Lonchura striata: one gene and its partners. The protein of the gene in region 1 interacts with the protein of each later gene in a pairwise test. Links are inferred from orthologs where the notes say so. Each region holds a gene or a part of one and is shown in the gene's direction. Other genes may lie near its edges.

Region 1 (7,829 bases):
AGAACTGGGAGTTTGCCACTTGAAAAAATACATGCAAAGTAAGAATGGGGGAAAAAATATGTAGAACTGGCTTGATTACTTTGTAATCCAAAATAAATTGTTTAGACCTAGAATATGAGTGTAACACACTTATCGTGCTAAAAGCAATAATTTTTGAGCTGAAATAGTTTCAAAATACACATTATAAGTAATCATTAGGTAAAGTCTGTCACCCTGATTCTTAGGATTTTCTAAAGCCTTCTGAGTTTACATTCTGTTAGAAAACTTTCCCACACAATTTCTATATTGGTTTGCATTCCTTCATGGGGGTGCAGAAACTTAATGTACTAATAGTTTGTCCAATGTCTTTGGAGAGGTGGCCCATTCACTCTCCAATCCACTGTCACCTTTAGAAAAGTATAAAAGTTAGAGTTAAAAAATAAACCTTCTTCTTTACCTTACAAATAGCAGGTGGTTCGCATCGTGCTTTCACGTGTCCTATAGCAACAAAAGTCTAAACCAGGGGGAATATTAATTATTATTTTGCTTAAAATTAATTCAGTGGAAATAGTAATTTGTTGTGAACATGCTTGTTTAAATGAGTTACCTTTTCAATAACAGAAATAAGTATATTGGGAACAGTACTGTAATTTTTTGTCCTTGAAAAACACTGGGTAATGCCTACTGGAAGGACTACTACCTGTTGCTGAGCTCTGAATTACTTTCAGCTGCATACAAAAAAATATTATGGTCTCTCAGGAAAGCTGTGTCAAATAATATGATCAATATGCAAGGGTGGTCAAGAATAAAATAAAATAAATAAAATAATAAAGTAAAATGAAGTGTGAAGATAGCTAGGGTAAAAAAGGGCACGTTAACTAGGTTCTTGTAAAATCCATAATTTCTGTGGAATTCAGCTGCAATTACATGAACTCAGGAGTCTAAATCTGAGAATTTTTATTTTTGAATGTAGCACCTGACTTTAAGAAGACACGTGAATGAATAGACATCTGCTGTCAAGAAAAAATTAGAAGGTCAGGAACCTTCAATTTAAGGTCAACAAACAATGGAATATGAAGTTGTGTTTTGCATAGCAACAAGACCTATGCTCACCTCATTTTAGTTTTACTTTTAGATTTTCAAAAGGCTTTCAGAAGACTTTTAAGAAGGCTTTTCCTGAGTTACAAATTTTGTTAGTTTTTGTTTTGGTTGCCTTGGATGATAACCACCAGGAGATTTTGCAGGTGCCAAAGCAATGCTTGAATGGTTACCAGTGACACAGGGAGTAATTGCCAAACGATGATTTCAAAAGTTTCATGCTATAAAAGCTGCTTGAATGGCCGTGGTTTTGTCAGTTGGCTGAACTATTTACTGCAGAGCCAAAAGGCCTAAGTGAAAGTGCTCCAAGATGGGGTTTATAAATGTGAATCCTGGGCAGCTCTTGTCCAGGGTTAACTACAGAACCTGTGTTTGTAGCGTTCCCTGTGCTTTTTAAAGCAGTGCTTTCTCATCCCCAGTATAGCAGGTTACACATCTGGGAAAAGAAAACCAAGAAGTCCTGACTTTTGTTTCCCAGCTGTAACTTATGCAGCCACAGTCTAATTAAAGCCCTAAATGCATGTTGCACTTAATTAAAGACAAACCCAAGTCTATTGAAAATGGAGGGAAATAATGAGCTATTTCTTGTTGTACATGGTCTTTGTATACAATAAAACATGTGCTAAAGTGTTTTGTGGTTGGCTGATGTTTTGGCTGCTCTTTGCAAAAATGGGGAAACAAGGATTCCTGTGAGCAGGCACAGGCTTTCCCTCCAACTGGCAGTGTGCAGATCAGGAAGGCACAATCACTTACTGATTTTAGAAATAGGTGAAATGAAACTTGATGGGTACCATCACTGAGCCTGGGTCACCCTCTCTTCTGGGCCAGCCCAGCTGTTCCTGTAGCCAGTCAGTGAACCATTTTGGGGAACTTATCTAGCAGAAGAAAACAACCAGTTTAGTGGGGAGGGGAGTTTGTGCCTGTGTTTCAAGTGAATCACTTCTCCAGCACCGCTGGTGAGCAGGAGGTGCAGACGAGGGGGAGCCTTGCTCAGGGGAACAAGCAGCTGGAGGCACAGGTTGTGCAACATGTCACCAAACTGTTTAACAACCAAACCATGTTTGGTAGCAGCCAAACCCTGCAATATTGTTAAAAGGTGAGGAAAAACTATGGGGAAACCTAACAAACTTCTGTGAAAATATGCACATATATAAAAAAATATATATTTTCCTCTTAAACTGTGGCCCTGACAAAATCATTAGTGTTTACTGATGAGGTATGAATTCCAGGCTTGTACTCAATGTACTTCATAGAGAGCTTGAGCTGCAAAACAGAACAGGGAACTCTGCTCCCTCTGGTTCCCAGCAACACTGTAGGTATGACAGAATCCTCATTTGCATGATTCTGGTTCAGATTATGTATTTAAATGGCAAATCCCTGTTTTGGAATCAGATTGCTCAGCCTTTATATTAAAGAAAGTTAGGAAGCTGGAGCCCTTAAAAATGAATTTTATTGGGGAAGGGAATTTAATGGAAGGTGATGCTTTGTCATTTTATCCTGATTTAAAAAGAATTGAACAAAATGTACAATTTCTTCTTTCTTTTTTGGAAACATTTTATTTTTGGACACAGGAAAGCTATTAAATAAAACAGTGAAAACACTTGAAAAAAATATTGCAAGACAACTGTATTTTATTTAAATGCTAATTTGTTTATAATATGTTCAAATAATGTAAATAATAGTTGTGATGGGAGTTATCTGAACATAGCACATGTAAAAACACGGTGAAGAAGCTGTAAAAATGTATAAGAAAAAGCATGATTATATATTGGAAGAGGACGGAGGAATTGGACTATCACTCCTTCACAGCTACTACAGAAAAGTTTTTTTTAAGAAAAACCCCAAGCTGCTACTGTTGTCTTTCTTACATATAGCCATCAGTCTGAGCAGAGACTTTCCTTTCCTATCTCCAGTAAAGTAATTTGCAATCCATTTCTGAGCCCGTTATATTATCTGCATACTTTCTTATCTTTTGCACAATAAATTCTTTGGAAACAAATTTTACAAATTTCCTTTCATGTTGCAGCATAAAAGGAAAAAAAAAAAAACCAAAACATTAAAACTGATACAATCTATGGGCAACAAACCTGAGAAGTGCAAATATTGATTACATTGCAACATCTCCTGCACAGAATCTACAATGAAATGAAGCAGTGGTTGCAAGTTGTCATGAGTTGTGCTTGTGTTTTCCTTAGAGTCCAGGATCTTCCAGTGATGTTATTACCTGATAATGTCAGTTTTAAAAAGATCCATACTCTACTGTGGGGAGAGGAGGGCTCTGGATTACAGAGTTGTAAAGGCTGTGTGTGACAGACAAGCAATAGCTGCAATTAATTTTGTAGCATTAGGCTCCCAGCTCATGTTTTTTAGGTACTTGGGGCTCTCAGAACTGTGCTGTTCTCTGCAGCTTTTCCTACAGACTGAGCTCCACCAGCCTTGGAAGTGGAACAGGGACACTGGTACCATACACTGGGCAGGCATTCAAAATGTGAGATGGGCTTCTCTGCTGCCCTTCACCTGCTCCTGGGCAAACGTGTTTTGTCCAGCTGAGTCTTGTGCTGCTTGTGCTGATGCCCAAAGCAGAATCCTTTCTTGCCCTTTCCTTGACACCCCAGAGCAGGGTGACAGAAGGACAATTTCTTCCCTAATACTGTTTATCTGTGGTGCCAAAATTCACTGTGGGCTGCCAAGACCAGCTACCCCCCCCCATATGTTAATGACATTGCCATACAATTTGAATGCTGAATGCCATCCAGTCAAACCACGGCTCACCCAGTCAAACCTCAGGGAAAGGGAAGACCTGCAACTTCAGGATGCACCATTACTGTTTCTGGTTCTGGGCTCCTCAAGGAGCTCCTGGAGAGGGTCCAGCAAAGACTGCGAAGGTGATCAGGGTCCGGAGCATCTCTTATGAGGAGAGCTGGGCCTGGTTAGTCTGGAGAACACAGAGGGGACCTCTGTGTATTAATGCATACAAAGATCTCCAAAGTGGGTGCCAAGAGGATGGTGGGGCCCAACAACAGGGCAAGTAGCAATGGCCATAAACTAAAACACAAGAATTTCTAATTTCTACATCAACAGCAGGAATAACTTTTTTTTTTTTTTTTCTTTTCTGTTGAGCACGGCAGAGCACTGGAGCAGCTGCCCAGGGAAGGTGTGGAGTCTCCTCTGGAGACATTCCAAACCCACTTGGACACGTTCCTGTACCACCTGCTCTGGGTGACCCTGCCTTGGCAGGGGGGTTGCGGCGGGCGATCTCCCTTTCAACCCGAGCGATCCTGGGTCTGTGATTCATTTGGCGATTCGGTTTGCCCTGGCCACGAGCAGCCACAGCGCTGGCTCATAAATTCCCTGGCGATCCCCTGGAAAGCGGCACCGGTAAGCCGCTCTGTTTCCCCGCGGCGGGGGCAAACTTTGCCGTCGCCGGGGCCGCCGCTGCAGCCGGCGAAGGACGCGGAGCCCTCCCGCGGGAGGAGCGGGCGGCGGGGCCCGGCGGGAGCCGCCAAGATGGAGGCGGGCGCTGTGACAGGGCGGGGAAGGGGCCGGGCGGGGGCCGCGCCCGGGGCAGGTGCGCGGGGCGGCGCCGCCGGGAGCCGCAGCCGGGCCGAGGGCGGCGCTCCGGGAGCGGCGGCGGGGCCGGAGCGCGGCCGCGCTCCCCCCGCGCCGGGCGGCGACTCGGGCTCCCCCTCCGCCCCGCCTCCCGCCCCGCTCGCCCAGCCCGGGCCCGGCCCAGCTGCCGCCGCACGGCGCCGCCGCCGCCCGCCGAGCCCGGGGCGCCGCCGGGAGCCGCGCGGGGGCCATGACGGTGGAGCAGAACGTGCTGCAGCCCGGCGGCGCCGCCAAGGTGAGTCCCCGGCGGGGCCCGGCCTGGAGCGGCTCCGCCGCGCCCGGGCCCGGCCGCGCCCGCTCCGGCTCCCGCCGTCCCTCCCCGCGCCCGCGCCCGGCTTCTCCCGGGCCTTCCCCGCGCCGCGGCCTCGCCTGGGCCCCGCCGCTCCGGCGGCCGCGGAGCCGCGGCGGGGGCGGCTGCCGGGCCGGCCCCGGGTCACCCCGGGCAGCCCCGGCTCCTGCCCGCGGCCCCGGGCGGGCCTGTTGCGCTCCAGGCTGCTGGGCAGAGCGGCGGGACCGGGGCCGGGCAGCGAGAGCGCCGAGTCCCGGCCGAGCCCCCCGCGGGCCCGGGGGGAGATGCTGCACATGCCCGGCGTGACCCTGCGGCGCCGGCATCCGCGCCTGCCAAAGGTGAACGCTATTTCCAGCGAGTGACGCGCTCCTGCTGGAGTGAAAAAGTGCCGGGTTTAGGGACTCGTGCTAACGTGCATCATGGAACGGGGTTAAGGGAATGACGGCGCTCATCAGGCTTTTACTGTGCGCCAGGACTCGATGGAGAATGTTTCTCTGTCAAAAGAAGAATAAAAAGGATACCTTCTAAAGCTTTCCTTCCCTTGAACTGTCAAGACAAATGTCTAAAATTAAATTGCAGTGCTTTTAAAATAATATGTTTTAAAGGTAACTTGTAGGTTAACACAACTCTTCTGGTTAGTGGTATGGCTGTTGCCTCTTTCCTGATTTTTATTAATGTTTTAATGGCATGTACTGCCTTCCTAAGAGGATAAAGGTATGTGTGCTTTGGTATAGTCGGTGGGGAAGTTAAATGGCTGCAGCCGTAAGAGTGGACAGTGGGAATGTGCTGATTAGGGTATAATTGGTTAAAGTGGTAGAGCTCGCATTTAAGAAGCTTGTTTGGAGGGAGGGCGTGTCTGGCCGAGGACTGCTCTCATAGTTGGAAGTAGTTAGCCGTGATTTTGGCGGCTTCAGCAGGAAGGCAGGCAAGGGCTGAACGGTCTGATTTTGTTCCTCTCTCAGTGTTTTCAGTTGGGGTGTGCTGGCAGGTTAACGCAGCAGATTTGCTGCTACATGCGCCTGCTGTGTTTGAAAACTGATGTTGCTGCTGTGCATCTGACAACTTTCGCGAGCAAGTTTATCTTTTACAAAACCTCTTGTGGTTTACTTAATATATCGTAATTATCACGTCAGATACGAAGTGCCTTCTGGACCCTGATCAGTGCTGCCTATTTGTGCTTTCTGACAATAATCCTGGAGTAGTAATGTTAGTTTTCAACTAAACTAGAAGGATACTTAGTTTTCAGCTAAACTACTGCTTGCGGGTCAGTAGTTCAGATTCACTTGAGTTTCAAATCGAGGATAAGCCCAAAAGGAGGTTGAAGATTGATTGTGGTATATGCCAAGTAATCCATGCTGCAGTAAAAAATATAGCTAGCAATAATTCTGAAGTTGTAATCAGCATTGGTGGGTGTTGGTCACCTTTTAAAGTGTCTAAAGAAACTGAATAAAATATCAAGTTTTTTTCATGGCAGGGTTTTTTTATTATTGTTTCTGTTGAATTATCTGATTATTTTATTATCTGCAATTGCTTTTAACCTGTTTTATCCCTAATTGCATGCATTTAGGGAATGAGGGAAAGGCAAATCTTAAAAGTACTTTGTAAAAAAGCTTTATTTGACTCCAAAGTGAGTGTCTCATTGTTAGCGAGACTAATGACTAGGTAATTGGATGACAAACTTTAACATTGATCAGGTATTTGCATGTAAGAAGGCAAACGGTGAAGGTCCAGTGGGCTGATGGATGGATGAAAGGTGGAGAGGCTACCATAGCAATAACTTACTGTTTTCCCTTGAAAGAAGAAAAGCCCAATGTCCACAAATAAGGGAGTTTGTTCTGGAGACCTCAAAGTTTGTTACAATTGTTTTCTGTTAATGTGAAGAAACCACATACAAGCAGAAATATATTGGGTTTACAAGAGATGCCTGAGTCATCAGCATACCTTATTCGGAGCCATGGTTGCAAACATTGTTCATCAGACGTTTTCTTACTGTCATACAGGAAGCGTGTGTCAAACTTCAGCAGCACTTGGAGATGTAGGTTTGTATTAATAAATGCTGTAACTACAAACAGCCTGCTTCCCACTGAAGCTATCTTTAGTTTATTGTGTAGTTAAAGCAGCTGCGTCAGGTCAAAAGAAGCTTTTCTTTCATCTCTACTGGTCATTTTGACCCTTAGTTAAAACTTGTAAATTATGTCCTGAAGCAAATAATTAATCAAATTATTCTTGTTGCTTATGGCCCTTGTGTGCTTCTATGACATTGTTCGGTGTCTGAAGGTTATAGGTAATGTTCACAGTAAGATTAAAGCATGTGAAAAAGGTAAACAACATGCAAAGTTAAAAAAAAAAGTAGCTTCTTGTTTTGTCCAATCTGCATTTCTGTCCGGTCCAGTCCTTTTTTTTTTTTTTTTTTGTCAGGCATTTTGATGCTGAGGAAATAAGGCACATGTGTTGCAGGATTTCACATAATCTAGGCAGCCCTATGTGGCTGATGCCTGTGAACCTCAATTTTCCTCCTGGAGGAAGATCTCCCCAGGCTGCCCATGTACTGTGCAGACCCTTCCCTTGGCCAGTGTCCCCTACACAGCGAGTTCAGGGGCTGGGTGAATGGTGATTTTTCTGGTAACTGAAAGTTATGATGTGGGGAGGTTAAGCATGTTTCAACGTTGTATCAGCTCTGGTAATTACTGTGATGGTCATCTTGGAATGGCAGATTGAAGAAGCTGGGTTTTAATTGGTGGCACTTAGCTGGCCTCTCAGCAATGTGTGTTATCAAGTTCTACTGCTTCTGGAGAGAGCCTGACATTTGGTTGATACATGGATTTAAAGGCTGTTTTATCTCTCCTTTGGTTTC
Region 2 (7,511 bases), on another chromosome or scaffold:
GTTAAAATTAGTTCCTGCCTGTTAAGAGACTGTTCTGTCTTTATATCAATGAGAAGTTTTTTCTGTGCTGCTTGTTCTGATGATAAAGGCTGATATGGGGAGAGATACAGACTTAGTCTTTTCTAAATGGCTGATGCACTAATGAAGAGTCTGTTTTGCAAAGCAGTCTGTCTTTTATGATACCTGTGTCCTCATAAAACATAGTCAGGAAGAGCTGGTGCAATTGTTGGATTATAGTATTTTTCAAGAAAAGCATTCCTTTCCTAACAAAAACTCTGTTAAATAAAGAATGCTTTACTGCAGGAGTGTTGAGGCACTTGAACTGGTTGCCCAGAGAACTTGTAAATGCCCCTGGCAGTCTTCAAGGCCAGACTGGATGGGGTTCTGAGAAACTTGGTCAGGGGGAACGTATTTCTTCCTGTAACAGGGGGTTTGGAAGTAAGTGATCTTTCAGGTTCCTTCTAACCTGAACAATGCTATGCTTCTATATTTCTAATTATTAGATAGATTTTAAGAAAGATTTTTACTGTTGTCAGCCTGGCTATGTGAGCTAGTATCACATCTTCCTTTCAAAAAACAGAAATGCTTGACCTTTTTTCCCATACCTCTGTGGGTGTCAATTCTTTGTGAGTGTAATTTCCATTAAGAGATGGTGCTTACAGTGTGTCTGTGGCAGAACATTTACCTGGCCTGTGCTCCTAGCAGAAGCTTTTCAAAAAATAAGAAAACATGGCATGGTTTTTATAGACTCTAGAATGTAGCACTGGGAAGGCTTGCCCAGTTTTATAGAAGCTTGCCTATTCTAGGAGTATGACAGGCAAGTTGTTTTTGTTCCTACAGTAATTTCTGTGCTTTCTATATAAAGAAGAATACTGCAGACTGTTTCAGATGGCAAAATAACCTTGGTCTGAAAGAGGAACCTGCCTCATTTTACCACTCTGACTCATGGAGCCAGTCCATTGAGGCATCTGTTCAGCAAAGGTTTTAGCAATTACAAAGATGGACCAATAAATTTCAGATAAGGAATGAAGTGTAATGGGGTCCAAGTGTTCTTGCTTAACAGTAAGTGAAGGCTAATATTCATGGCTGAGAAACTGAGACAATTTATATATCCATAGCCTCTAGACTTGGAACTGAGTAGAGACAGACCTGAACAAAGAAGAGGAGTTAATCCCTGCATAATAACTTTGGAAATGCCAGCCTGCCACAATTACTGATTTTTAAAAAGTCTAATGAAGACACTTGTTGGAATGTAAAATAAACCTATCTTGTGGAACCGCAGTGATGTTTATCTGAAACTTTGAATGAAATGTGGCATTTTGTCTTAGTCCTGTAAGGCTATAAAACTTTGAGGCTGTTGTAATAATGTTGAATTTCTCCTGGATTTTTTTTTTTTAATGGATGAAGCTTTTCATTCACTTTCCATTTGGTTATAGCAACTTGCTTCTATAATTCATGATCTTTAGTTCTGAGATGTCTTGCCAGCAAATTTGATAGAAATGTCAGAAGGAAGGAAAAACAAAGTTATGGCTTGTGGATCCATCCACAATTGGATGCTGGTCCTTCTGGAAGCCAGCCTTTCTCAGATCTTATGGTAAAGAAAATTTACAGTATCATCAGCTCTCTGCCCAAGGCACTCTTTTGTGTGTGTTTGGAAATTGGACAGATATTCCAGGTTTTGACTTCCTGGAAAAAGATGAATGTTTTGAATCAATGTTTTTGGTGTAGCACTCTGATAGATCTTTTTCTGGCTACTTCTTTCTGAATTGTGAAAAATAATAGACCATGGTGAACCTTGAAAGAAGATTTTGGGACTGGGAGAAAATTTAGTGATAGTTAGATGTGTTTTGTTTTACTGTGCCATCACTGTCTTGTCCATAACAGTTTTGTTATTGCTGTCTCTGTGAAAACTCTTTTGTAAAAATGAAAATGTATTCCACTTGGCAACATGCTACACTGTCATATTTAATGTCACTGTAACTTGGACCCTGAAAATATGCAGGCCATTGGCTAAGCTGTTCAATCTCTTTTTAGTGGTTTCAGTGATTTCTTGCAAGAAAGATTATAATTTTTTTGTTTTGCTCTTCATGTATTTTCACTGACTTTGTACGCTCATTTCACAGCTCTCTCCATGCAATCATAGTGTGATCTATGGCATGCAAAGGAGTTTTACTTTTTACTGTAATTCTGGGAAGTAAATACATGTTTGAAACAAAACCATAAAGGAACAATGCATATATGTATATATACGTGTGTGTGTGTGTGTGTATGTATATACATTTATGTATGTCTCAGTAGCTCCTGAAGGGAGATAGTTGGGGCTCTCTGAGTAAGACTTTTGTAACTGCATCCCAACACAGGCTTTTTTTTTTTCCTTTTTCTTTTTTATTCCCCCCTCCACCAGCATTTGGAAGATACAATTATACCTGCAATTGTACAATTATACCTGTACTATTCTGCAGTCACTACAGTGGCACAGCTGATCTTAGTGAAGATATGTCTGTGCCCAAAGAAGTTTGCTCACATCTTATCACAGCAGGAAAATGGGAGATTAGACAGGGATCTGCCTGCAGTATCTGAAATGCTTTCCTGCAGATTTACCTCATCCCAGTGGTTCCATTATTTATACGGTGGTTTAATAGGGACAAATCACAGTTGAGTATTTTGTCCCCATAGAAATGATGCCACCCATTTTATGTCTGAAATTCTTGATTTGATGAGAGACATGTTTGGCGAGAGGCAGTGTTTGTATTTGTGACAGTGTAAGAGTGGAAATAGATATAAGGGAATTTAAAAGGAGAAAAAATTGTTTGGGGTTTTTTGGTTGGTTTTTTTCTATTTTTAATATGTGTGAAAATCATAGGATTTTTTACTTCCAGGGAAAGAATTACTGCAATCCATAAACACCTATTTTTTTTTTTTTTAATTCTTTCACAGTAGCATGCTGAGCTTTATAAAAGACCAAAGCAGAAAAACTTCATTAGAGGAAAACTATGGCATATGAAAAGATTACCAAAGACATGAGAATCCCAAAAGAAAGGTGTATAAGAGAAACAATAGATTCCTAGCATCAGTGAAGAATGTTTTTTTTAGTGATGAATGCTCCTTCATGAGCTCAGGTCAGAAGCTTTTATAGAAAAGCCCTAAAGAGAACATGAATGCTCTGGTACTTTTTCTAAGCATCTGTTTGCCTTGTAATAGGGCAGTAATTGTGTTGACAGGTCAAGTAGTTTTTCCTCAGGAAATATTTCAGCAGCTAGAGTGCCTGGAGTAGTCTGATGATATCAGAATGTCAGATGCAATTTTGAGTAAATGAGGGCATTTCTGGGATGTTTCAATAGAGAAAAAAAAAATATCTATCTGTCCGCAGTATTGATTAAGATGACTCCAGAAAGTAAATCTATAGGAAAATATTTTATAAAATCCAATTTTTTGAAGCTCCTGAGGCTTTTAGGTGTGTTTGTGATATTCCTTTTTAGTTCATTTTATGAATGACTCCTTAATATAGTTGGTAGTAGATGAAATACCAATGCCACCTGTTTAGTAGGCACATGCTTGTTCTGATATGGCCAAAATGCTGAGGATTTACATGAATGAGGGCAAAAACTCTTTCGTCTTAAGCTGAGAAAGAGGCTAGCTAGGCCACTAACTTTCATAATAATGATAAAACATTAACCTGTTAATTAACAAACTGGACAATCCTAAAGCTCAGTGATCATATTTTTAGATCCAGGTTTTGAATTTCCCATCAGACAAGTGTTCTGGTCCAAAGCTACCATGTTCCCTATTTTTCCCAGACAGATTTTAATTGAGCTATGTTTCTGTAAAAGAATACATTGCAGTATTTAAAAACCTTAGCAGAAACACCGTTGTCACCCTAAAAGCATCACAATATAAAATAAAAAGCAAAAATATCTGAAAGAAAGAAAATGCTTCTGAAACCGAACTGTTAAAGTAAAATATGGAACTTGACACCATAGAGGTTCTAAGGAAAGAGCCCAGTGTTGAAGAAATAATAAAAATTTGACAACATGTACTTGCTAGCATTATTGTCAGAATGAATTGACAATATGAACATATAACAATATGAAACTTGCTAAAAACTAGCACATGCTTTCTGTATCTGTCAGCACTGGGAAGGAGCATCTGTGGAATAACAGCAAAGTCTTTGAAGATGAAAAAGGCATTTTTAGAGTCTGAAGTACAAGTCAAAAAGCAGAGCAGTATAGCTTAGATTGTTAGTAAAATGTTGCAGAGCTCAGAGATGAGTGTTTGGTTGTATGAGGAAAACTTTTCATGGAGAAGCTGGAGAAAACACATGGAGAAGGAGGCCCAAGCATGAGTGATGGAAATGTTGCTGCAGGCTGTAAGCTGATTGGAGCACAGCAGGTGCAGACTGAGACACAGTGCCCTGAGCATCAGTACTCAGCAAGGGCACTTCCCTGAGGAATGCCAGAACTCAAGGAAATATAAGTGTCACTTTTTCCTTCTAGACACATCCCCTTCAGTGTGATGAGTGGGACTTTGTTTGAAGATATCTACAAAAGTTGCAAAATCACCAGTATTACCAGTTGAACTACACCGGATTTCAAATGTTTCTCAGTAGGTCAGTAAATTCACTCTAGTGCCCTGATCAAACTCTAATTTGTTTGAATTACTTTATAAAATTATATTCTGTTGTATTTCCCTGCCTTGACTTCCTTTTAGACACTTGCTGTTTTCTTCCTTTGTTTCTGCGTAATTTGCTCATAAAAACTCCTTTCCTAAGGTGTAGATAGAAATTAAATTTTCATGTTTATACAAAAAGGTAAAGGAGGCATGTAGAGGTAATCTGATGATCAAATTAAGACCATCGTTCAGCTATCTACACACACTGGAACGTGATTTTAAGGATGCAAAAATAAGAATAGAACAGTAATTCAAATCCATTTTCTTTGTTAAACTTCTTCAGATTTAGTTTTTTAAAAGTGAGGTAGTTGCAATGGATTTATAATACTTCAGTGCCAATTATTTCAAAGTGTGCATTAGTTTGGAGTATACCTTTAAGGTTCTCCTGAAACCATGAAACTATAAAAATATTTAATATAGTATATCAAGTCACCATCAAAAGTGTATTTATGATTCTATGCATACTGAATTTCTTCTAGTTTTCAGATGAGTTACATAAGTTGAAAATATGGTGAAGAATCTTAAAAAACTTGTGCTGCTTTTCTCAGAGGCACACATCTTGATTCCAAGAATCCTAATTAAATAGGATCTTCAGAAAACTGTACATTCATATTATTCTTTTTTTATTAATGTTTTCCAGGGTATAATTAGAGAACTGTTGAAGTTCTTAAACTTCAAGTGGTACTTAAAATATCACCCAGTTCTAGAACAAATTGTTTCAATAAGCATATTTTCATCATTTGACACTGTCTAGTGTGCCTTATATGTATGTATGCATGCAAGACATTTACTTTAAACCTTACTTCTTTATTTTCATACCCTGCTCACAGAATACTACTTTGGAAAACAAGAAAAGGTGAAAAAATAGCTGCCTAAATAAGGAGCATTTTTTTGGCACACTATTTCACCACTACATGGCTTTTGATCTTTGTCACATTTCAGTCATCTTATCCATGAAGGAATAAACTAATCAATCAGAAATTCCTAAGTCTCTCACCATTATACTGTTTGGTCTTTTTAGAAAAATTCATATTCCTATTTATATTTTTTTTAATGTTAGAAGGGAGATAGTACCTTAGTAATATTATAATATTTGCTAAGCAAACTTTTCAATATAGTAATTATTCTCCCTTTGTTCTTGTCTAAATATTAGATTAAATAGAATTAAGCTAAGTTTTGCAGTGTGGTTAGCAGAGATTTTTTTTCTAACACCTTCCAGGTGAGTTTTCCTTCATTTTGCTCATCTGTTCTGAGAGAATGTTTTGCTTCCTAGTATGCATGAAATGTGTGAGGTACTAAACTCTTGTGCTATGGCAGAAGTACCCTGCAGAGCTGATGAGGAAGCTGCCTGAGAGGAAGTGAGTACTTAATTTTCTTATGTGTTTGTGTAATATTTTTCTTTCACGTAGGATACGCCTGATATTTGCATGCATTTGTAGCTTCCTTAAAAGTCATATTTAGCGACCAAGGGGAGAGTTGCACTTAAGACCCTCTGTGGCTGTTATGCTCAAGTGCCTCTCTTGGGTAGCCAGCCACACTTCCTTCAGCACTCAGGAGGGTGAAGCCTTACATTCAACCTTAGGGGTCAAATCTCCATTTCACAGCTTCATGTTTGTAACTGCACTGGCTTGAAAACACTGCACTCTTTGTGCACCTGGAAAAACTTAGAGGAGGAGAAAACTCTGAATTCAAGCATTTTCTTCTATTCCTTTACTGATCCCAGAAGGGTATTGCACTCCCAAAACAAAGGCAAGATTTTGAAATTCCAAATGAAGAGAATAGCCATCCCAAATTCAGACATTCTTCCAAAATTGTTAAGTAGTTTTTAATCATTATCTAAAGTTTTTTTGTGATTATTTGCCTCTATGCATGCCCAGGAGATGCTGCATCACTCCAAATATTTCCTACCATTGCTAAACACTAAATATTCTTCACATATTGGAAAGTGGGGTAGAAAACCTGGCCTGAAATAGACCAACGGTAACATATTTTGTGAAAGTAAATCAGGCCATTGTTTTCTGAAACAGATATAAATAAATAATTTGTAAAATATTAGAGATCATCAGAATCCTGCTGCTGTTCTTTTCATAACTGAGAAATATTCTTCTTGTTTTGGAAACCTGTTATACACCAGACCTCCTCATTCTGAAGATTTAACAAACAGTCCCTCACCAGTGCCATCACTGACATTTCATCTAAATTGAAACCAGTGGATTTCCCCCTGCCCTTCTGCCTTTTAAGAACTTTTTGTTCCTGAAGAGTTTGTAGAAAACATTGAGATTAATAAGAGACAAAAAATACTCTGGAGAATAGCCTGATTTGAAACACATTATAGTCAAAGTGAATTTAAATTTCAGTAGTCCTAAAGTTTTTTTGTAGACAGGGATGATGTGTTCACCCCCTCTAACCTTGTCTCCCACCCCACTTTTATTAGCTGTTATTTTCATTCTGAAGTTTTTTATCTTTTTTAAGTCTGAAACTAGAAGCATGGCAAAAATTAACTTTAATGAATTACATTAATTAAAATAAATTTCTACAGATGAAGATTGTGGTGATATTTTTCTGCTTGATACATGTTCAGTATGTATTACTGAGGTGTTTTGAGCAGGCAGTGCAGTACCATTCTTGGCATGAGGCACAATATGGGATTATTTCTTCCTTTTCTGCAAGTTGTACATTGCTGGTGAAGAGCCAGTGTTGATCATTCATGCATCCAAATTCTTTCCTTACTAAAAACCTAATAGTAAATCTGTTTTCTTCCATCTTTCCTGAAAGTGGTATTGAAGACTTAGAGCCTGCCTTCCAGCACAATTTTGCTAGAAGTTGGGTGATGTATATTCATC
Region 3 (7,718 bases), on another chromosome or scaffold:
ACTTTTCAGCAGGAGCTTTCCATTAGAAATACTGAAACTCACTGGACTTGACAACTATTGCTTCATGGTGAAACTATAAAAACTTCTTAAACTAAGTAACTTTTTCTTAGGCTGAAATCAAGAATAGCCTCATATTCCTATTTTTTACCCTGGACTGTGGAACTAGCTGTTCCAAGAAGCCATCACTTGAATTGTTGGGAAATTGCCTCTCAAAGATCTGGCCTGAAATAACAACTTGACAATCTATGTGCAACTATTTGGAGTGGTACACTACTACTTCCTTAAAAAACACTACATTTAGTTTCTTTGCTTTCCTTCACACTGCCTGCTCTGGATGGTATTTACATACTATGGGCAACCAATTTAGGTATCCAAATTAAAAGTATAGGTTTTTTATGCCATCAGTGGAAAGGGGAACAGTGCTTCAGAGGGCAATTAAAAGTAAAACACTGAGAAACCTGCCTGCTTTGGCAATTTCTTGGAGGACCTGGACGCTTCTGTTAAAGGCCCAGGACAGATTGTGAAGATGTCTGAATCTCCACAGAGCCTTTTGTATTTTTTTACATTTAATTGGGACAGAAAATAAATACTGAAATTTGTTAATAAAATGTCACTTGAATTGCAATTTAAATGCATGGAGAGTCTTCCGCTATTTGTTGGTTGCTCATTCTAAATATTCTCCCTTAGGATGATTTTTCAAGCAAATTGCTCTTTCCCTATTACTATCTCAGTCAGTTCTACACAGATTTTAACCTAATTAGCCCACACTTTTTCTTCTTTTGGTTGGCTTCAGAAAAATGAATTTCATGGCTGGACAGATATTCTGGTTTGCCTTCACTTGCTTTTAGCATTTTCATATTATTATACCTATTGAAGGTACAGATTAATCTGTTTTGCTGGCCTCCCCAGTCAATGCTGATCTTTGGCCTGACTGCTCCTCTGCTGTTTGTGGTTTCTTCCCAATAAAAAGTAACAACTTCCCAGGCCTCTGCCATGTTCTCCTGCTGGCATCCTGTGTAATTCTGCTTTGCATGCAAGGAGCCTACACTTTTAAAAAAGCTCTCTGTCATCCCAGAATGTTCCAGGCACTATAGAAAAACATACAAGAGCTCCATTTAAGCCCTCTGGACATGTTTCTGTCTAGCAATTTTTGACAGAAAACTGGAACAATTTTAAACAAATCACAGGCATCCTGGCTTTTCTTTTCTGTGTAATCTAGTTTCCATGAACTCTTAGACACTTATCTGTGCTGCTGATGTCCAGAATGCAAGCTTCTCCCTAGCACTTAAACGAATCTTCTCTAACTTCTGCCCCCACAGCTGGTCATGAAGCTGCTGAACAATTATCTTGGTTACTGCATAAACAGGTACAGGATTTTGATAACTTAATGGCCTACCATTACAGCTTGTGAACAACTGACAGGGTATCCCAATCTCCTATAGGGACCACGTGGCTTTGTGCTTGCTCCTCTCTGAAAAGCTCAGTCTCTCAACATTTCACCATCTCCATGTCTCCTTTCTTTCTTTTTAATCCATTTGTTATTCCAGAACAACATTTTATAATTATTACACTTTAGCCCCAGCTGCTGGTAAAATAAAGGAGGTACATATAAAACACCAATAACTACACATGGGTAACTGGCAGAGAAAAAGAACCAGTTCCTGCTTGTTCAAGAGACATAGCCAAAGTAATTGATGGATAAAATAAGAAGAGGAATGGAGAAAGTTTCTTTAAAGATCCAGTATTACACATATTTACTGATGTACAGCCTGTACTGCTTTGAGTTTGCAGTGAGCCTGTATTTCATAAATTGATATTTTCATTTTGAAAAAGAAGCTTTCACTGAGAAAGTTGCTATTTATATATATAAAAATATAGTAATAAAACAACAGATCAAAATAAATATAAATAAGTAACCAAAACAAACCCTTTTCTTCATAGAATATTTTATTATTTCTTGATGTACACATTCATTATCCCTGGTTTGGGCTTTTTTTCCAAGTCTCATCTGGAAATGTTTCAAATGGAATAAATTTTAAATTATTCTCCTTTTGGAATAAGCTACATTTCTGAACTCTTGAAATGTTCTATTTATTCCAGAATTTTACTTTGCTTCCAAGAGCAAGGCAAAGAACTTCAGGGAACAATTAGAAAGAACTGGAAAATCCTCATAACATGAAGGGCTGACAGCCAAAAATCCTAAATCTGATGGACTGCCTTGCAGATTGGCATGAACAATGTCTCTCCCCATAAGTAAACCTTAATCTCCTAAGCAGAAAGGAAAATAATTTATTTTTAAGGCTGCTGTAGTCTTTCCATGCCCAACAATCCCTCTTTTTCTTTCTTTTTCTATATCTTTCTCAATTTTTTTCTTTTTCCTTTTTTGACCCCGTCATTTTTTTCTATTTTTTTTCCTTCCTTTTTATCTCCTTTCCTTTCCTGCCCCCTAGTGACCAACTAAGCATGTTCCTAAACAAACTGAGCACTCTTCCAAAATACTTCTGAAAGGAATAACAGTGAAATGTTTCTGAGCTGTTCATGCCTGAGCCTCTCAGGCTGTGTTAGTAACAGGTGGGTTACAAACCTCCTGCTGCCTCTAGAAAAGTCCCTACCACATGTATTGGGTGGGATTTGGCATATATTTCAGATATGGTTTCCTAACCATGCTATTGTACAGAAGAACAAAAATACTGGATTTTGCAGATTATTTTCTCATAACATAAATAAATTACATTAAAAAGGAGAGGTGTTTTTATGTTGAATCTCAAAAATCACTATGAAGGCTATTAATAACTAGTCCTAAAATATGCTGAGAATCTTTGCTTCCTTGAATTCAAAGCTAATTGAATCCTGCTCTTACAGTGTAATTTTTCAAAGTTGTTTCCATTCATAAAGACCTGCTGTAGTTTCACACTCAAGCTATAATGAAGACATGCTGGAAAAGGAAATCAGGCTGCAAATAATTTAGAATAATAGTACCTTTTGGGTATAGTGGTGTGGAGAGAAATGTAGAATTTATTTCAGGCGGTGCTCTTTATAATCGTGCTCCAGCAGAACAGTGAAATATTGTTCTGGATTTCAAATTACTGAGAAGACCTGAGGAGCAGGATGTGTTTGGATTTACACAGGTACTTGCACTTCCACACACTTCTAGATACAAAGTCCCTTCTTTAATTTTAAAATGAAAGTAGTCAAGTTAGTGCACTTGCTACTTCTGCTGTGGGCCCAGAGAAGGGTTTATGAACTCAAAAGCTTGTATAGCTTTCCAAACATGTTAATGGTGACAATAAAAGATACAAATGGCAGCATTTCAGGTCCTGTTTTCAGTCTGTGGTGCCTGCAGGCAGGAAGGGAAGCTCTCATCATGCAGACTTTGGAGAAGTTGGGAAGGTCTGAGAGGCCCTATGAGCCACAGTTGATGACAGTTTATGCAGGAACATTATGGCCCCATGCAAAGCAGTGGATGAATTATGTATGTGTGGGACTCTGGCTATTCCCTGCCTGCTGAGCACAGCTTGGAATTTCAATGGAGGCACAGAGAAAAGCCAGTGGGATTACAGGAAACACGCATGACCAAGGCATCACATTTGTCAGTGCATGTGGTTTGTGCCCTGTGCTGGCTGCATTCTTCTGTCACACTGCTGTGGCTATGTGTAAATTACCAAACTGAACAGGACACAGACACAAGCATCAGACCTTGATCTGTCACTAGAGCATGGTGACAGCCTGGTATAGCTTGTAGTCTCCCACAAAAAATTCCTGGGTGCAGTTTAGGCATTAGCATGGACCAGGGAGAGAAAATTTGGATGTAATTGCCTTGTTTCAGGGACAGGGATGTTTGACAGAATGGAAGACTGTGCAAATGTGCTAGATCCTTTGCCTTGCACTTAAGTAATTTAATTTCCTAATGTGACAGCAGCCTGAAAGTTGAATTGAGTTTGGAGGTACTCATCTCTGCATTTGCAACAGGAAGCTACTGACCCTATTCAACTACCTTTTCCAAAGTGTTTTAATATGGTGTGAATAAAAAAACACATTTCAGAATTATCAACTGAATTCTCTTCTAGTCAGTCCCATCTGGGCTCAGGCTTCCCCCACCAAGCCAGTGAGGTTTATTGCGGGGCTGCGGGGAGAGAGAGGACAATTTCTGTTCTCTTCCAAAACCTTGAACTGGCAAAGTCAACTAACAGGTTTTTTAATATCTGTTTTTCGACATTAATAAAGAGAACTATGCTATTTATGTTGTATAATTTCCATTACATAGTTATTTTGCAAGCACTGAACTTCCTCGGAGTCACAGTATTTTCCTATATAAGCAACTGTGCAAGGATCATGAAGCCATTGGCACCCAAATGCAGTCTTCCACACTTTGCGGGGGGGGGGCGGAAATCCCTGAACAGAAACCCCTACATTTAATTACTGAACACAGCAAAGGCACATTTGTTCTTCTGGGGCGGATCGCTAGTGCTGTACTTTGTTGTGCCCCTCACGGCCCCCGCCAAGGGGGCCGGTTACGCGGGCCGTGTGGGCGCCGTCCCGCTGTGGGCCGCAGCCCCGCCGCCGCCGCTGGGCGGCTCCCGCGGCGCGCGCCTGCGCACGAGCGCGGCGGTGCCCGGATCCCTCCGCCGGGCGCAGCGCCCGCCCGGGAGCGCGTGCGGAGCCCCGCGCGGGGCGGCGGGGGCTGCGCGGGCCCGGCCCGGCCATGGCGGCGCGGAGGTGCGCGGGCGGCGCGGCCGCCCTGGCCGAGGCGCCGGGCTGCGGCGCGGCGGCGGCAGAGCCGGCCCGGGAGCTGTTCGAGGCCTGCAGGAACGGGGACGTGGAGCGGGTCAAGCGGCTGGTCCGGCCCGAGAACGTGAACAGCCGGGACACGGCGGGCAGGAAGTCCAGCCCGCTGCACTTCGCCGCAGGTACGGGGGCAGGGGGAGCCGGGGGGCGGCGTCGCTTGCCCGGGGCGCTGGGCCGGGCCGGGCCGCTCGGGCCTCGCCGCTCGGGCCGGGTGCAGCGCCGGGTCCGAGCGCTCCGCCGGCCCCTGAGCATCGCGCCCGGCCCCGGGACCGAGCCCGTCTCACCCACGCGGAGGGGTCGCCGAGCGGTACAGCTGTTCCCTCCTTTGCTTTTTCTTCCCCCCCCCCCCCCCCTTTTTTTAAAAAACCAAATCTCATCTGGCTTTGAGGACACATCTGGAGTGGGGTTTATGCTGTTCGTGTTGTGACACGTGAGCTCTGACAGGGACACTTGTCCCACGTACAGTTCTCATGGATTTCAGCGGGCCTGTGCATTTTTAGAATTGAACGCATGAAGGAGTTCGTCAGATAACACCGTTTCTAAGCTTTTTGCGTTCTTATCTTTGACAAATGGACTTTGTTAATTCAGGACGTAAGCAAACAATTGACGTCACAGGACAACTGCTTTCACTGGCAATTGGCCAGAAGATTGTATCCCACCTTTTCAGACAAAGACCCGACTGTGACTGTTGTTTCCATGTTGGTTGTTTGGTTTAATTACAGCCGTAGATGTTGGACTCTAAGGCTGACAGTCTGCAGAAAACAACAGCTTCTTTTCAGCTAATCAATATGGATAATAACAAAGATGTTTGTTTCATTATTAGATTGTCTTGGTAAAGGTTTCTGCTTCGGGTGTCCTTTCCTCATGTTAAAAGAGCTTGACTCAGGCTTAAGAGGTCTAAGTTCTTGAAAGCCTCCTCAGAACAGCAGTATTTCATAAATTCAAGAAGCCTAATCGGCAAGAGAGCTCAGGAGACAAAATATCCTGTCAGAGGAAAACAGTTTTTGTGGCTGTTTTTTTATATGCATCAATCCTACCTGCCCACTGAACTTCTAAACAACTGTGTATGTTTTAGAGCATTTTGGAGAAATGAGGGGTTGTTTTTATTTATTTATTAGTTTTGGTTTTATTTATTTATTATGTTAGTTTTGGGGTTTTTTTGGCCTAAGATGTTTCTCATTCACTGTAATGATCTAGTTTATCTCTCTGAATAGGGGTGATCTGTCTTGACTTTATATAACTCCTGATAGGCAGAAAGATTTTTCTTTAAAAAATGCACAGCCATAAGTTCATGTAGTTGTTAGATTTCTAAAGTTAGGCAGGTTGGTGTGTAAATGGGAGACACTGCTGTCATGCACATGTCACCATGACTTGGTACAGAGAAATTAATTGTTCTTCTCAGGGGCCTGTAGGAGATGCTGAGGGTTTCTGGCTAAGATGGGACAGAAAACACTTGTGTGATTTCTTCATGGAACTCTATTTACTGCCTCAGGTCGAGCTCTGCTGTTGTCAGCCCACCTGCAGTAGGCTCTGTTTGAAAGGTGGACATAAGTCGCTCTTGGACTTGGGCCTGACTGGTTTTGTTTGGTTTTGCCTTTCCCCTATTATTCACCGTTGGAATAATACTCACTTCTTTTGTCTGTGCCTCTGAAGGAGTCACATTCCAGGAAGTAAAAGCAAAAATCTGATGTATTCCTGCTTTGTTTTTAAGTGTTCTTAGAAAATGCATTACAAAACTTCTCTGACTAGTTTCATTCAGTTGCAAGACTTCTTTTATGGAGGAGCTGGAGCTGAAATACACCATGTCACCATGTTTTTTATTGCTCTTTTTTTCTTTTTACTTGACACTCTGGATCTGAACCTCGGTTATATTTTTTAAGACTTTTCCCAGATCTTACCTAACAATTAAGAAAAAAATTCCTCTTTTTCCATGTGTGTGTTTGTAAAGGTGGATTTTGAAGTAAAAGGTGTAAAAAAAATCTTCAAGCTCTCCCTAGAAATGTGTCATTATCAGAAGTAATACATGTTGGAATTTTGCTGGAGCTTGCTCTTTGGATTTTGTAGTACACAACTGTGTGTGGTAGTTAAGTTATCCTGAAGGTTAAGTCAAGGGCCCACCACCCTTCACAATAAAAGAGGCTCCATCCTCTCCCCTCATAAACTTCATGTATTTCCTCAAGTCAATCTTTTTCATCACAGTGTGTGTCAAAGTCAGAAGTTTTTAAGGACTTGGCAGGTACCAAAATGCCCCTCTTGCAATCTAAATTTCATTAAAAATATGAACACCCAGGGTAGGGGAGAAGCATTTGAGCTAAGTTCTTTCTGTTAGCTTGTTATCCCATCAGAAGTAGCTGGATGTCAATTATGATCCACAGTGACTGTAAATAAATACCTTTTTAAAATTATACACACTTGTACATTTCTACTGTGATTAATAATAGCAAATTGTCGGCTGAAAATTTGTAACTTTCCAGGGAACAAGTGCAGTGAGCTGCTCAACTATTACAGGTGGGAGAAGAGTGTCAGCTCAAGGTCCTGAGTAGCCAGCCTTTCTTGTTGGCAATAAAAAACAAAGAGTTCATGATGATAAGACCATTACGTTGCAGTTGAAATGTGTAATCCCATTTAGGTGGTCTCTTGATAAAAGCACAAGAGCTAAAGAAAACACCTACCTCTTAAAAATTACAATGTTGGGTTTTTTTAAAGTGTTTAAACAGTTTTTACTACAGCCAGCTACTGGTAAAGAGGAACTGTTTGAGTAGGCAGTGACTGCCTTCCCGTGACAGCAAAGGCTGCCCCTGCTTTCCACTCCCAGGAAGAACAGCAGAGGCAGAGACCATTGTGCAGTTTGGCCACTTCCTCTGCACTCATGCATCCTTTAGAAAGTAATGGGAAAATAATTCCCCTTCCATATATGGTGCCCTGTTGTACAG
Region 4 (6,947 bases), on another chromosome or scaffold:
AAGGGTAAGGTCATGTTACTGCCTGTCAATGATGGTGCTAACTTCCCTCACCTCTCCATTATCAACATGTGCTCTATTTGATCCCAAGCCCCTCCAGGCTGTGCTGCCCTTCTGGATCTCTTCTACATCTACTTTTGTAACAACTCTTCCTAACCACCAGCAGCAGCTCAAAAGCTTGCTTCTCCCTTTCATTACCTCTGTTATCCAGACTGACAAGCATCTGCCTGGAGTACTGCCCTCTGCATGCCTCCTCCTAGCTCAACACAGACAAAAAAAGTTGCTTTCTACACCCTCAGGGCCTTGTTCAGGCCATTTCTGTCAGTGCTGTCTTCTTTTGAAAAGCCTGCACCCACCTCAAAAGGCCTGAAACAGAATGTGCTGCTTTCTTACAAGCACCATTTCACCCCTTGCTTCCCTAAACAGTTCTTTGGGGTGAGTCACCTTCAAAGCCTTTGTCTGCCATCACTCCCAGAATCTGGGCAGGACCTGTAAAAATTATGGCAATGATAAGGCTGCCTTAATAGCACACACACATCTAAGACAATGGGATGACCCAGGTAACAAAGGGGGTGTGTGTATTTACTGTAGGTTAGTGCAGAGGCAGAATTGACTTCCCAAGAGCACTGACTCGAGACTTTGCCTCAGTCTTTGCCACTGAAAACCACAGAAACTCTTCCCAAGATAAGCAGACAAACTCGAGTATCATGCAACGGGGACATTTTTTGTGGCTGGAGAGGTGACACGCAGGTAACCTGAGGTGACAACAGGCAGACGTGTACACACTGATACTGTTACAACGGGTTCTGTAACAATCAGGGTCCTTGAACCTAGGAGGGTGCTCACAGCTGTGAACAGGCTTGGGTAAAGAGCAGGTCCTGGGGAATCATGGACAACCAAAAGGAGCCGAGAGGGACAAAGCTATGGCAGCACACAGCTCACACAGCTGGAGTTAAGTGCACCAGGGAAATCAAGTTACTTGGAAGCAAGAATCCAAAAGTAATCATCTTATGCATTTGCCACCAAAACATCTTTCTAAGTCTTTGGCTTCATTTCACATTTTTCTCAAATCAATCCAATTTTTTTTTCTCTTGGATAGGGGATGTTTGTATGCTGATTGAGTCAGCATATAAACTGTTGTAAATAAAGTTAGCTAACTGTGATGCTTCAGTCTGTACACAGGGCGATTGCGCAAAATACTTCAGATACAGAAAGAAAAAAAAAACCACAAAGCACTGGCTGTCAATGAGAAGCACTATGAAACTAAATTATGAGGCTGCTCTGGGGGAGAAATTCCAACTCTAGATTCTGCAACTGCAAGAAAGAACTGGAGAGCCAAGCCCTGACAGATTTTATGGAGCTGAATGGGCTGAGCTAGAGGAAATATCAAGATTCTATTTATTTATTATATTCCCAATACAGTGAGTTGTCATAAATTCTTGAACCACTCAGAGGGAAAAAAAAAAAAAATCACAGCTTCTTTTTTTTCTCTCATTCTATTTCAAAATTCAAATAAATTGTCAGAAAAAGACCTTCATCCTTAGCCGTTCATAGCCTCTGGAATTGTTTCCCAGTTATTCTGGGGCTTTTACAAGCAGAGCCAAACAGCCACTGTTGAAATGAGCCCCTAGCCCTGGGCAGAACTGCTTCACACACTAACCAGCAAACACAGAAGTCAGAATGAGTAGTTTAGCACAAGCTGAGCAGAAAAGGGTAGTGAAACTGACACAACCCCTCAGCATGAGGTATTTTAGTTTGCATGTGAAGCTCATGAAGCTCAGCACTCGCATATCTGGACTGCTGAAAGAAAAGTTTAAAAAAAAATCCCTTTTATCTTCAAAGTATAGACTTAGGTATCAGGCAAGAGTGAAAGTGAACAAGCAGCATATTTTAGGTTGTAACCACCCAAGCAAAAACTAGCAAGTGATATTTTCTCTCTCTCTCTTTTTTTTTTTTTTTTTTTTTAATGGCTCTCCACGCAGAGCAAGCAAGTTATTCTGTACTGTCAGGAATGCTGGATTCCTACTAGCAACAGTCAGCGGTTTCTTTTTCGTTGTGAAAGCTGCAGGAGGCTCTGGCTCTCTGGCAGCTGTATGACAGAGCATGAGCAGGACGCTGGCAGAATCAGCACCTCCAGCCCTGTGTGTACGTGTAGCACGTCCCCATTCCCTCACTCCTGCAGGGAAAGGGGTCTTCCTCTTCCCTGCTGCCTGGCAATGCTGTCTGCTGGCCTGGGAGGAAATGCTGAGGAAGCTAAGCCTACTGTAAAAAATGAGTTAGGAGATGGTTCTCATTACAATGATTAAGCTGACAATCTTAGTGGCAGGCTAGAAATTTTCTGGCCATTACACAATACTAGGAAATTTGGAGTTTAACTGCAACTAAGTCAGCCTGACATAAGTATCCCCTTTTGCAGAAAGACAGCCTTTATTCAAAGAAGATGCCCTGGGAGATCCTACAACTGCAGATGGAAGAGGTTACAAGGAGCAGGAGAAAAGGTCTCTTTTACCAACACAGCTGGCTCAACTTTAAAGTTTACTTGTAGCAACTTTCCTCCTACATTATCTAAAGAGCAACAGGGCAAACACAGGTTAATAACCCATCAAAGGTATGCATCAACTACCCAAACACTAAACTGCAAGCTACTAAACTCACCATGAGCCAGCAGTGTGCACTCACAGCCCAGAAAGCCAAATGACTGCTGGGCTGCTTCCAAAGCAGCGTGGGCAGCAGGTCAAAGGAGGAAATTCTGCCTCTCTTCTCCTCTTGTGAGACCCTCACCTGCAGTGCTGCATCCAGCTCTGGGATACTCAAAGTGAGAAGGACTCATGGAGCAAGTCCAGAGGAGGCCACCAAGCTCATCAGGAGCACCTGCCCTGTGAAGTCAGCTTGAGAAAGCTGGGGCTGTTCGCCCTGGAGAAGTTTCCAGTATCTGAAGGAGCATACAGGGAAGCCAGAGAGGGACACTATGTTGGGAACTTTAGTGATAGGACAAGGAGGGGTAGGTACAAACTGAAAGAGGGGAGGTTTAGGGAATCTTTCCTTTTGAGGGGAATCTCTCCTATTTATCCCCAATTTAAGCTGGATATAGGGAAGACATTCTTTATTGTGATGGTGAGACACTTGAACAGCTTGCCTGGGGAGGTTGTGGATGTTCCAACACCTGGTGTTGTTCAAGGACAGGTTGGATAAAGCAACCTTGAGCAACCTTAGTTGGAGGTGTCCCTGCCCATGGCACAGGGGCTGGGACTAGATGGTCTTTTATATTCTATGAAATGAGCACTGGCGGAACTGAGGGTGCTATAAACCTGCAAGCGTGTATTAATAAGCTTGTATAACAACTTACAAGCGGTGTGTCCTGTGCCACTCATTTCAAGAAGAACACTGAGGGGCTGGAGCATGGCCAGAGGAGGGAACGGGGCTGGGGAAGGGAATGGAGCCCCAGGAGAGGCTGAGGGAGCTGGGAAGGGGCTCAGCCTGGAGGAAAGGAGGCTCAGGTGGGACCTTGAGCTCTGCACAGCTCCTGACAGGAGGGGACAGCCAGAGGGGTCAGGCTCTGCTCCAGGAACAGGGACAGGAGGGAATGGCCTCAGGCTGGGCCAGGGGAGGTTTAGTTGTATATTAGGAAGAATTTCTTCAGAAAGGCTGGCTGGACGTTGGAATGGGAGACTGCAGAGTCACTGCCCCGGAGGTGTTCGAGCAACGCCTGGACGCGTCACTCAGCGCCACGGCCTGGCTGACACGCTGCTGTCCGGCCACAGGCCGGACTCGCAGACGTTCTTCCCCACAATCACTCCGTTCCTTCTCTCTCTATCTATTTATACACATTGATATCTGTATTTCTGCCTCGCCGCCCGCGCCCCGCCTCCCGCTCTCCCCGCCCTCAGGCGCGCCCGCGCCTGCGCCGTGGCGCGCGCCCCGGGCGGCGCATGCGCAACCGCCGCTCCCGCCCAGCCCGGCGCCGCCTCCCTCCTCCTCCTCCCTTTCCCGGCCTCTGCCCCGCCACCTCTTCCCGGGGAAGGGACGAGGGCGGCCGGAGCGCGGCACGTACCCGCCGCCATGCAGATCACGCTGAAGACGCTGCAGCAGCAAACCTTCCGCATCGACATCGACCCCGAGGAGACGGTGCGGCCATTCCCGGGCTCCCGCCCCCGCTCCCCCCACCCCCCCCCCACGCTCTTCCCCCCTCTTCCCATCCCCGGGACGCGGCCGTGGAGAGGGATGCGGGATCTGTGCGCTCAGCCCCTGGAAAGGGAGATTCCGTGAGGGGTTGGGGTCGCGGGGGTGAGGCGGGGTCCGCCCGGGATGATTTTGCGGCTGGCGGGGCCGGAGGGAGGGGATGAGCTCAGGCGGGGGTGCGAGGGACCCCTTTTCCTCGGGATGCTGGTGGGTAAGAGGGACTTCCCATCGCCGAAGGAAAGGGACTGCCGTGGCCAAATCTCCGGCGGAAGGAGTTTTCCCCCCTTGTTTTAGAGGAGAACGCCCCGGAGGTGGGAGGCGGAATAGCTCGGGAGGTGGAAAGGGGGAATAGCTCTGAGGTGGAAAGGGGAAACAGCCCGGGAGGCGGGAGGGCGAATAAATACCTCACGTAGTCCTGGGGAGGAGAGGAGCGCTATAGGAAAGTTTTCCCTGTCGGGAAGCGGGGTGCCGTGGGTTGGCAGTCGGTGGGGCACAGATCGCTGCTGGTTTATGCTGGGAGCCCTGGGAGAGGGGGATGGGGACACTGGATATTGCGAGAGCATCTCTCTCCCGGGATGAGGTTGGGGGTCCAGCAGAAGGAAAACGTGGTGGTCCTTCCCTCCTCCCATGGATTCGCAGGAGGGAAACGCTGGGAGGGCTGTGGGGCTTCACTGCCGGGGCAGGAGCGTGATCTGGAGAGGGGCTGGTGTTTGCTGCCGGGTGCATCGCTGTGTGCCCGGGCAGGGGTGTGCTGTGGAGGTGGGAGAGTGCGGGAGGGTTTGGTGTTTGGCCTCACAGGGCGAGCTGCAGCGATTAATCAGTGTGCACTTCGGACGGGAGGGAGTGCGGGAGAGACGCTGCTGACCTCGGTGGAGCCGGTGTTGGGGTGTGCGGTGGGGTGCACAGCAGCCTCATTCCCCCTCTCCTCGATGCCTTTGGATGTGTCTGATGATGCTGTGAGCGAGGAGGAGACATGTTTTGCTTCCAGGTGAATGTTTTCTTCTGGCACACAGGAGCCTGCTGGAAAATCCTCGGGGAAATGCTGTGTTGTGAGATGAGAGGAAGGGCCCTAAGTGAGTTGGCAGGGTTGGAAGTTGCCTTGTCACTTGCCTGAGCAGAGATGGTTGTTTTGATAGCCAAGTCCACACACACTTGTGGCCTTGGTTTGAAAGATCTGGGGAGGCTGGCAGCTTTCCTTTCTTTCCAGCAGCCTTTCCTGTGACAGGTGAGCAGTGAAGCTCAAAAAACTATGGAACATTGGATCTGCTTTTGTAAAGTCTGTTGGTTTGCCCTCTTCCATCTTAAGAAAACTAAAGGATGACAGTTGAAAGTTGGACTAAGAGCTCATTTGGGTTACCATTGTGACTGAGAGGCATGACAAATGCTTAGGAGAGGCAGGGATCAGAAACCTTCAAATATTTAAAACATAAGTCTGTGCTGTTACTGAAAAAACTATCTTTTTTTTTTTTTTTTCCTTTTTTTTCCCTCTTGCTCTCTGCATTCAGTAAGGTCCTGGGAAGTAAATTCAAGGAGAGGACTGAAGGAATGTTGTCGGTCAAAGCCTTCACCAGTTTATGAGACAGCAGAATGCAATGACTAAGTTGGATTGTGGGAAAATGAAACTGCACCCTCTGTTTATAGATGTAGCCGCTACAGTGGCTCAAAATAAAAATGCTCCTCATGAGCATAACTTCAGGTTTTGGCCAGGAATGGGTGGTAAAACAGAGGAAATCTGGTAGAATTTGAGGAGAACTTTGTTTTTAAAAGAGCAGGATAAAGGCTTGGTCTTATTATTAACTATAGAGATGAAAAACATGTTTAAATTTCCATGTACACTTTTTAGAAAATTACTAAGAAAGTACTGTTGGAAATACTAAAAATCAAAAAACTTAGTAAAGAGAAGTTCAGCTTTGAGCTTTCAGTTACAAACTGAGTCTTAAAATCAGAAAACGCTTTGAAATGTGCCATGCTGAGGAGGTGCCTCACAAGTGTGTGCTTTGAAGTTCTCGGTCAGACTTTTTGGAATGCACAAATTTTAGCTAAGTGTGCTGGTTTCGTAGATTATTTTCCTCAGACCTTGAAACATGTTTCATGGAGTTTGGGAAAGATTACTTTTAGTCTTTGGACCATGTGTGTGTTTCTCAGAGGTAGGCAGGCTTGTTTACTTGGATTTCTGCCCTATGGTGTGACAAGGCCAAAAATCGTGTAGTTGCGATAGGCGCAGGAAACGCGTTGCTCCGAAGCTGTGTTCTGGTTCTCTAAAATTGTTTTTGTGTTCCTATCAGTTTCTCCTCGTACTCTCAGTACCCAGTTAATCTGGAGAGACTTGATGATACTATGCAAGGTAGAATTCTGATAAGTTTAACTTAGAGCTGTCGTTGATAGGAATATTTAAACCAACCTCCAGTGAGAGTTTGAAGCAACATACTTCCCAATAATAAATTATCCTTGCTAACTGGCTTTTTGCACAAGCAACTGTTTTTTTTTTTTTCCTAGTAAATCTCACAGTTGAATTTTAAACTTGCCTTCAGTGGTGTGACTCCGGTTTTGGTGTGGTTGTGTTTTAAAACATTGGCCAAGTGAGTATTTTGGATGAGTGAAAATTATACTTGAAGCTATTATCTTGCTTGCCAAAGCACTGGGAGAAGACTGTCAGGTACCCTGACTGACTAAAGATGAAAAGATTTAGCCTCAGGCCCTATTATTGGGGAAGGCCTGTTATCAAATTAAATTTTTGGAAGCCTGTTTTTCCTTAAGTTTTGTGATGCGCC

Evidence for each region.
Region 2: the proteins of USP25 (region 1) and SYK interact in binary tests that used the Homo sapiens proteins (3 or more experiments, as listed by UniProt). The link is inferred for Lonchura striata from reciprocal best matches to the Homo sapiens genes USP25 and SYK.
Region 3: the proteins of USP25 (region 1) and TNKS2 interact in a two-hybrid assay, tested with the Homo sapiens proteins (2 studies listed by BioGRID and IntAct). The link is inferred for Lonchura striata from reciprocal best matches to the Homo sapiens genes USP25 and TNKS2.
Region 4: the proteins of USP25 (region 1) and RAD23B interact in binary tests that used the Homo sapiens proteins (3 or more experiments, as listed by UniProt). The link is inferred for Lonchura striata from reciprocal best matches to the Homo sapiens genes USP25 and RAD23B.

The regions. Positions count from the first base shown.
Region 1 is NC_134604.1:8,527,767-8,535,595, reverse strand, and holds the start of USP25 (ubiquitin carboxyl-terminal hydrolase 25), read left to right. Parts: upstream 1-4,814; 5' UTR 4,815-4,876; coding exon 4,877-4,921; intron 4,922-7,829. UniProt on the Homo sapiens protein: Deubiquitinating enzyme that hydrolyzes ubiquitin moieties conjugated to substrates and thus, functions in various biological processes including inflammation and immune response.
Region 2 is NC_134642.1:7,797,383-7,804,893, reverse strand, and holds the start of SYK (tyrosine-protein kinase SYK), read left to right. Parts: upstream 1-4,498; 5' UTR 4,499-4,606; intron 4,607-5,941; 5' UTR 5,942-6,003; coding exon 6,004-6,026; intron 6,027-7,511. UniProt on the Homo sapiens protein: Non-receptor tyrosine kinase which mediates signal transduction downstream of a variety of transmembrane receptors including classical immunoreceptors like the B-cell receptor (BCR).
Region 3 is NC_134609.1:16,489,981-16,497,698, forward strand, and holds the start of TNKS2 (poly [ADP-ribose] polymerase tankyrase-2), read left to right. Parts: upstream 1-4,702; coding exon 4,703-4,907; intron 4,908-7,718. UniProt on the Homo sapiens protein: Poly-ADP-ribosyltransferase involved in various processes such as Wnt signaling pathway, telomere length and vesicle trafficking.
Region 4 is NC_134642.1:81,799,773-81,806,719, forward strand, and holds the start of RAD23B (UV excision repair protein RAD23 homolog B), read left to right. Parts: upstream 1-3,943; 5' UTR 3,944-4,056; coding exon 4,057-4,122; intron 4,123-6,947. UniProt on the Homo sapiens protein: Multiubiquitin chain receptor involved in modulation of proteasomal degradation. Binds to polyubiquitin chains.